Linked DNA regions of Ovis aries. The protein of the gene in region 1 purifies or fractionates together with the protein of each later gene. This does not show direct contact. Links are inferred from orthologs where the notes say so. Each region holds a gene or a part of one and is shown on either strand. Other genes may lie near its edges. The genes, in order: TSPYL1 and DDX24.

The links.
Region 2: the proteins of TSPYL1 (region 1) and DDX24 purify together in Homo sapiens (affinity purification with mass spectrometry; 3 studies listed by BioGRID and IntAct, counting the BioPlex papers as one, with this or other methods). This does not show direct contact. The link is inferred for Ovis aries from reciprocal best matches to the Homo sapiens genes TSPYL1 and DDX24.

The regions. Positions count from the first base shown.
Region 1 is NC_056061.1:21,654,515-21,659,053, reverse strand, and holds the start of TSPYL1 (testis-specific Y-encoded-like protein 1), read right to left. Parts: upstream 2,956-4,539; 5' UTR 2,850-2,955; coding exon 1,551-2,849; 3' UTR 1-1,550.
Region 2 is NC_056071.1:56,449,481-56,453,290, forward strand, and holds part of DDX24 (ATP-dependent RNA helicase DDX24), read right to left. Parts: intron 3,518-3,810; coding exon 3,364-3,517; intron 3,047-3,363; coding exon 2,531-3,046; intron 1,605-2,530; coding exon 1,529-1,604; intron 1-1,528. UniProt on the Homo sapiens protein: ATP-dependent RNA helicase that plays a role in various aspects of RNA metabolism including pre-mRNA splicing and is thereby involved in different biological processes such as cell cycle regulation or innate immunity.

The DNA.
Region 1 (4,539 bases):
AAATGTTCTCAATTGAAAGCAAAATAAAGCCTGTATAGCTCAATTTTCCCAGTAACCAGAAACAAGGAAAATAACACGATTTTACTAAATACTAGTGAAATAAAGCACACAGTACTAACCTTCCTTATAAATTAAGTCAAATGAAAACAAGATAAAGTACTCAGTTGCCCTTTTTACAGAACTCTTTTCTAGGTAATGTATTTAACATTCTAACCCCCTTCAATTCTCACGTGTTAATTCTGGGAAAAGAACCTCTTCTCCCATCACCACTGACAACCTCCTTGAAGACTCTGTCTTAATTTCAGGCCCAATTTTAACCTGGCTCATTTTTGCCTATATGTGATCTGCTCAGTTTCTCTTGCTTTGGGCACTCATCACAGTATCTTTAATTCTTCCATCAATTATGGCCTAGATAGCACTTTTCATCTAAATCTGTCTCCTTTTAAATCCTCTAGATGTTGCTAAAGGGGGTGGAAGATGCAGAAGAGAGAAGAAAATAAGAGCTCTGGCAATCTATTAAACAAGACAGCCTGTTCCTTGAAATAATGGAGAGCCAAATTAAAAGACCTGATTTGCATATGCTTATGAGCTTTACCATATAAGACAGGACAGACACAACGGAGAAGGTGCCACTCTGGCACTTAATTACGCTCAGGATGAAAAAGGAGGCACAAAGAGGTACCCAGCTTTTGAGTGATTCACTAGAGACTGAGAAAGCCTGGTACTTTGAATGGACACCATCTTTAGGCCAACCTGCCCTGAGAAGTCTAACCTGTCACCTCAACCACTTGCCTGACAGTTTTTAGGGTTCTGGATGATGGGAGTGGAGGAAAGGGAGGTTGGAGGAGGGGATGAGGAATACAGGAGAAGTCTTTTGGGGAAAATGGAAGGGTCTTTTGAGTGCTGGCAGGAAACCTGGAGATTGTTTACCAGAAACCAGAGTGGGGCTGACAACGTTCTAGCAGACGTCCATCCAGTAGGTAGCAGTCAAGGGAACAGCCATTAGCAGGCAGCAATAGTACGTGACCAGAGGTGCAACAAGAGCAATGGAGTCACATAAATCATACAGGCCCAGTGGCCCACTGCAATTCTCCCTTGATGTCATTAACGCCCAGTTATCTACAGGCTATATGCCTGTGCTGCAGAGATCAGGATGGGTAGAATGGCCTCCTAGACAAATACCTCTAGATATGAGTCAAACCGGAGGCTCTGGGAACAAACAGGGTCCAAGTAGTGCAGATAAAGACTATACAATTTACATCACAAGCTTATTTAGGAGTGGTATGAATCATGGGCCATGCAGCATGTGATATTAATGCAGAAAAGCACGAAGGCCATGTGGAAATGAAGGAGCATGGCCATGACTGTCTCAATCTTGAGGCTGAGAGAACTGAATGTCCAGAGGAAAAAGGCTCCAGAAATGTCAGAAAAAAGGGGGGGGGGGAGGGGGAGAGGGGTGGTTAGAAGACATATCCGTATCTGTTGCCCAAGCACAGGTCCATTAAGAGGCAAAAAGGGACCTTGTGCAGGAACCTTCCCAACGGCAAAGTTTAACCAGACTGGAATCCAAAGGGCCTGGGGATCTCCACGGGCTCCCTTATTGGGCGACGTCTGGCTCTACGGACTCCTTCACGCAGCAAGTAGTACTGCAGTGGATTTGGCCACAGGTCCTCTTTGATAATTTCAGCAATCCTGTCAGACTCTGGAAGGCTGTGGTCTGAAAACCAGGTGAAGAAATTGCACACGACCTCTTGGTTCCTGCGAATGAAGGACTGGGGTTCATGGCCCCGGCGCCATATGATTGGAGTGGAAAGAGACACTACTCTGCCAGAGGCTCTGACCTCATATTCTTTGACAATCAGCTTGTTTCGAAAATATGGGTTTCTCCGAAAGAAGAACTTGAACTTGCAGCCTGTTCGCGGGTGTCTGAGCTCCTTCACCTCCAAATTGGTTATGTATCTTAACATCTCTGCATCTTGGCCTCTAATCATGGGAGACAACTGGGGGTGGTTCCGAAAGGCAGTGACCCAGAAGCCCGGGATATTCTGAATGATGTAGTTCCTCCGCTCCAGGTAGTGTCGACGCATCCGCCCGAATTTATGCTCTAGTTGTTGAAAGGCCCGGTCAGCCTGAGCGTTCACAGTGTCCAGTTCCAGTTGGATGGCCTCCAGCGGGTTCATGCGGAGATCCATACGCAGGGGCCGATGCCCCGCCTCCTCCACCACTCTGTTCTCCACCATTTCTATTTCTTCACCGACTGGCCTCTCCTCCACCTCCATTCCCTGCTCCACTCCCTCCTCCTCCTTCGCTCCTTCCTTCCCCACCACCTCCTCATCCACTGCGACCGAGAAGACAGGGCCCTCTTCAGTCTTCACTTCCTCAGCCTTCGCCTCCGCCATCAAGTCAGACCCCAACTTCTCCGCGCCACAAGTTTCTAGCGGCTTCTCTCGACTCAAGCCCTGCGGCTCTCCGGGCTGACGGCCATTTCCCAGGCTATCCTCCGTTGCCAGGGACACAGACGCCGTTTCCAGGCCCTCCGTAGGAGGCGGAGCCGGCTCTAGCCCCGCTTCGGGCGCTACGTAACCGCCATCCCCACCGCCTCGGATCTGGAACGTACCGGCACAGCCTGGATCTAGGGGAGCAGTTGGGGGTGCGCCTTCCTCCTCTGGAAGCTGGGGTGGCGGGAGCGCGACGGCCTCGAAATACCCCTCACCCGTCTCCGCCATCACCTGTGACGCCTCTGTTTTCAGGCACCGGGGAGGGTCCGGAGCTCCGGCGGCACAGTCGGATGGGGTGAGGCTGTGGGTTTCAAGGAGAGGGGTCCTCTCGCCCCGGTCTGGGCAGCTCATGTCGGCAGTACCCAGATAAACCGAAGGCCAATGTCTGTTTTCCTCTCAGAAGCCCCGCTTGACGAAAACTGCTCGCTCGTACCACCCACTCTCCAATCTCGCGAGTGACTCCGTGAGGATGACGTCAGGGCAGTAGATCTCGATGTGACGCGAGAACTCGCGGCTTCTGGGATGTCTTACCAGGCTTCCTACGGTCCGAGTGTTCACTTTAATTTTACGAGTGTTAGCTTTATTCTTACGAATTTAATCCGGTGGATTGGTAATTTGACTTACGTAAATATGTGGCTCGCAATCAGAGGCTGAAGCAGTGAGACCCCCACCCCCCTCCCTTCCTGGCTATGCATCTGGAAGTACCTCCAGATTGTTCGCTGGGGTAATTGTAAGGATCCCAGTACTACACTGCTTTCTGTTGTCTGAAAACATGTTTTTATGGTTTTGTAGGCAAGAGGGGGAGAAGGCGATGGCACCCCACTCCAGTACTCTAGCCTGGAAAATCCCATGGATGGAGGAGCATGCTGGGCTGCAGCCCATGGGGTCGCGAAGAGTCGGACACGACTAAGCGACTTCACTTTCACTTTTCACTTTCATGCTTTGGAGAAGGAAATGGCAACCCACTCCAATGTTATTGCCTGGAGAATCCCAGGGACGGGGGAGCCTGGTGGGCTGCCATCTATGGGGTCGCAGAGAGTCGGACACGACTGAAGCGACTTAGCAGCAGTAGCAGTAGGCAAGAGGGTAAATCTCCCTGTTACTCCATGATGGGCAGGAGCAAAATTCTCTTTATTTTTTAACTAAATTAATAGCAAAATGTTTCCCTTTTCTCGGGTAGTGAAAATATTCTGGACTGTAACATCGCTGGGAGAAAAAGCTACTGAACGACTTTTTACCACAAAAGTCATTCATGCATATTGTTCCTTGCTAGCCTTACCTTGATAATCTATCAAAGAAGAGCTTGCTTGCTTGATGTTTGCAGGAATTAAGTCAGAATCAATTGCTGAATCTCTCTCCGCGGCCCAGCACTGCAGGAAATAGAAAAGCTATTTCCAGCCCCATCGATTTATTAATCTAATAACAAGTTTAGTTCTGAAAGAAGGTAGTAAAAGTTGGCTCTGGTGAAGTATCTGTTCATGGTAATTAGCTTGTAGAGTTCTTTCAAAAGGGATGTCAGTGTCTTTGGTTGTTTTAGTTTGTTGACTTGTGAGGAAAACTGGTGTTAGAGGGCTAGGGGACCTCGGAGAATTACTGGTAGAGGGGCCATCCACCTCCATTTTTATGAAGAAAAGCCAGTTAAAATGGATAACCAAGATGGCCTTGAGTAGAACACAAACGGCTGGATACCAGTTTTAAAACTGGTTAGTTACCTCAAGATGTGAAAGAGGCAAATGTTTTGGGGTGGTTGTTTTTTTTCTGTTATAGTACACTGAATAATGGCCCCCTAAAATGTCCATGTCCTAACCTTCATAACCTGTATCTTATCTTACCTGGCAAAAGGACTCCGTAGGTATGTTTCAGTTAAGCATCAGGAAATTGAAAGATTGTGCTGGGCTATCCCAGTGGGTGGACCCTGTTTAATTACAGTAAAAAGAAATGGGAGTGTCAGTGTGAAACTGATGACCAGAGCAGAGGTGAGAAAGTGAAAAAGAGGGAGAAAAAAGATTTGAAGATGGAGGAAGGAAAAAGATCCAAAGAA
Region 2 (3,810 bases), on another chromosome or scaffold:
GAATCCCACGAACAGTATGAAAAGGCAGAAAAATATGACACTGAAAGATGAACTCCCCAGGTTGGTAAGTGCCCAATACGCTACTGGAGGAGTGGAAAAATAGCTCCAGAAAGGATGAAGACGCTGACACAAAGCAAAAACAACACCCAGTCGTGGATGTGACTGGTGACGGAAGTAAAGTCCGATGCTGTAAAGAACACTGCACAGAAAAGTGGAATGTTAGGTCCATGAATCCAGGCAAATGAAGTGGTCAAATAGGAGACAGCAAGAGTAAACATCGACATTTCAGGAATGAGTGAACTAAAATGGTCCAGAATGGGCAACTTTAATTCAGTGCTCTTAGCACTGTTACCCATGGTTGATGATGGTGCCAGAAGTGAAACATCCTTCACTTCCTCTTTGAGTACACATCCCCTCTATTCACTCCCCGGCAACAGCCCACTACCACACCTCTCCTCCTTCCTTCCCTACCTCTACATGCCTGAATCCTCTCCATCCCTAAATGCCAAGCATCTTTTAGAAAGCACTTTCCAACCTAACCTCCCACACCAGAAGTTATCTCTTTGTCCAACTTTATTTTGCCACTTTCTAGTATCTTCTGCCTTAAAATTATGGCTGCAGGCATCTAACCTCCTCTAGTGGATTTGATATTTCTTAGGGGCTGGGAACTGTATTTTGTTCATCTGGATATTTCTCATAGACTGACCCAGACTCTCCCAAAGAGAGGAAGAATAAAGATTTGCTCAACTGCACTGGCACCCTTAAAGACTGTTAAAAGCATGAAAGATTTAAAGGAAAAAAAAGAAAGCAAGGATTTAAAAGGAGGAATAATTACACCAGTTACTGAGTACTTATACTATGCTAGGTAATCCATCAGCATTAGCTCATTTAATCAGAGTAACCCCATGAAGTAGGTAGCAGCATCACCACTCCCAATTTACAATGACATTGAAACCAAAGACACTCAGTAACATGCCAAAAGCTAACCCACTCAGCAGCAGCCAATAAGCATTCAAAGGCTGGAAGTGAGGTTCGAGAGCCCATGCTCCCAACCACCACTCTCTGCTAATTTTCCCTAGGTTCACACACTAATACTAATGTCCGCATCAACAGCAGCTAACATTTAGGAAGTGCCGCCTGGCTTTCTAAACTCCTCGCACATAATAACCTATTTCACCTTGCAGGACTTAACCACCACTCTTTTCTCTATAGCAGGGCAATCATTTTACATGCTAAACTTTACTATGCCCATTTCATGGAAGAAACTAAGACTCTAACCTGCCAGTATTATGTAGCCAGCCCAAGTCAAAAAGAGAGGGGCTATCTGACATCAGACAATGTCAAGAGGTTTTGGAGAATAAATCTCACCATAGTAAGTGGAAGCAGCTAGTTGACCAGACACCAGTGGTATTCTCTGTTGCATGAGGCCTTGGGACCAACAATTCTCCTTGCTCTCTCCCTCAACCTTTGCTTTAAAAATCCCCTGCTCAATGCTGGGAGATGCCCACAAATTCCCCGATGCCCCTACCTGGTAATGGATGACATGCTGGACTTTTGGAATATCCAGGCCCCGAGCTGCCACGTCTGTTGCCAGGAGCACACAACTGTGGTAGAGAGAAAGCTTATTAATAACAACTAACAGCTGTCATTAATCAACTCCTTACCACAATCGGGTACTCTAAATACTGCAACCCTTATTAACACTCTACAAGATAACACTATTATGTATCTCCCTTTGAGAGATGAAGAAACTGAGGCTCACAGATATTAACCTCCCAAGATACATACATGCCTATTCGGCTGTGGAGCCAGGATCCAAACTGGGTTTCACTGGCCACAATCAATAAAGCCACACTCTGCAATAACACAGACTACTTTAAGTGAATTAAATAAGGTAATATTCTAGGTCCGTGACCTCGTCTCCTATCACCCTCCCACTTAATTCCCTCAGTCACACAGGTAGACATCCTTGCTTCTGCTCAAACATGCCAAATCCGCCAAGTCTTTGCTTAGCACCCTTCAGGCCAGAATGGTTTCCCTCAGACAGTCACATTTCCTTACTTTCTTCCACACTCTGCTCCAATCTCACCTTATGAGAAAAGCCTCCCAGACCACACACCCACAGTCTGCTCAACTCCCTACGTAACTTTACTTCTTAGCACCACTTGACAAACTATATACTTACTTTTCCCTCCACATGGATGTAAACTCCCTGTGAGCAGGGACTTTGTGTTATGCACTATTCTATTACCAGGCCCTAGAACAGTAGCAGGTTCAAAACAAGCACTCAGTAATATGTACTGGATGACGTTTCATAACGTATGTGTAGTTTGAGGAGAGTCAAAAGCACTTGAGGGATGTTTTTAAAATAAATGTACTAGATGAGAGCGAACCTGCCTCATGCTATGCAAAATTTAAAAAAAGACTGGAGGACTACCTTCTATTAATAAGGCTCCCAAGAGAGAAGGGAGCTTCCCACCCTCCTGGCAACCTGGACCCAATGGCCAGTCTGTGGACAGGCCTGACTTACTCCTCCAGATGGGCGAACTGCTCCAGGTTTCTAAGCCTCTGCTTCTGGTGCATGCAGGCATGCAGGGTCAGTGGCATGATATCCAGGACTTTGAGGAGCCCGGAGAGGCGCTTGATGCAGGAGATACTGTTGGCAAACACTAAGGTGCGGCCTGGATACTGCATCAGGAAGTAGTACAGATACAAGTCTTTCTCATCAGTCTCACAATGGATCTTGGTCTCTGTCAGCGTCTCTACCGTAGCCTCCTTTCTTGTGAGGTCAATGACCTTGGGCTTGCCCCTCATGCCGATCTTCTGCATGAGGAGGTCAAGTTTGGCAGTTTTGTCGATTTTCTTGGCATGCTTCTTGTGAAGGATGCGGGCAGGAGCTTGATGTACCAGGGTCAGTGTGGCGGAAAAAACAAGAGTCTGTCTCTTTGGGTTGTACTGGGAATCACTGAGCATCTCTAGCAGCTGTGAGAGCTCAGCAAAGTGGCCTTTCTCAACCATCCGGTCAGCCTCATCGATCACCAGGCACCTACAGATCCAGACAGACCCGTGATCACCAGGTTAGCAGCAGGGGAGGGGAGCCACCACGGCATACTCCACCAGTGGCCCCCGCCCCCGCCCAACCCAAGACAAACACCACTTTCACCACCTCCACCAGGGCCCTCAACTAACCTCCCGCACGCATACTTGGTTTTCTAAAGGCCAAGTCCCTAGTACCTAGTAGGGTACCTAGTACCAAGGCTTAGTACCCCACGATGGCACTTTGTGACAGGGAGGATGCACTGTGCCAGCTCACCTCAGGCCCAGTTCAGAACAGGGAGTGGGGGAAAAGGGAGGCACTCTCACCTGAGCTGCCGAAGGTTGCTCAAATGAGGGTGCTTTTCTTTAACTAGCTCCCACAGCCGGCCTGGAGTGGCGATCACAATCTCCGGCTGGCGGTTCAGCATCCTCTGCTGTTTCTGCATGGACATTCCACCAACCAGAATAGCGGTTTTAATGCCTATGGTTCACACAACACGAGGGACAGTGTTAGTCTGATTGCTTATTTCTTCCACCGTGAACACCAGTGCCCCCAGATTAGCAAAGGCTGCCAGTCAGCGGCACAGCTCCCCTCTCCAGGGGAGTGCTAAGAGCTGGCCTGGCCTGCTGATGCCGTTACTGGAGGGCTTACCGGGTCTGCTATGGTCTAGGCCTGGCCTACTCCCTCAACCTCATTTTTTCTACTCTTTCCCCTCACCCACAACAGTAGCATTGGAGTTGAACCCAGGCATGGTGACATCCGAGGCTCTGGAG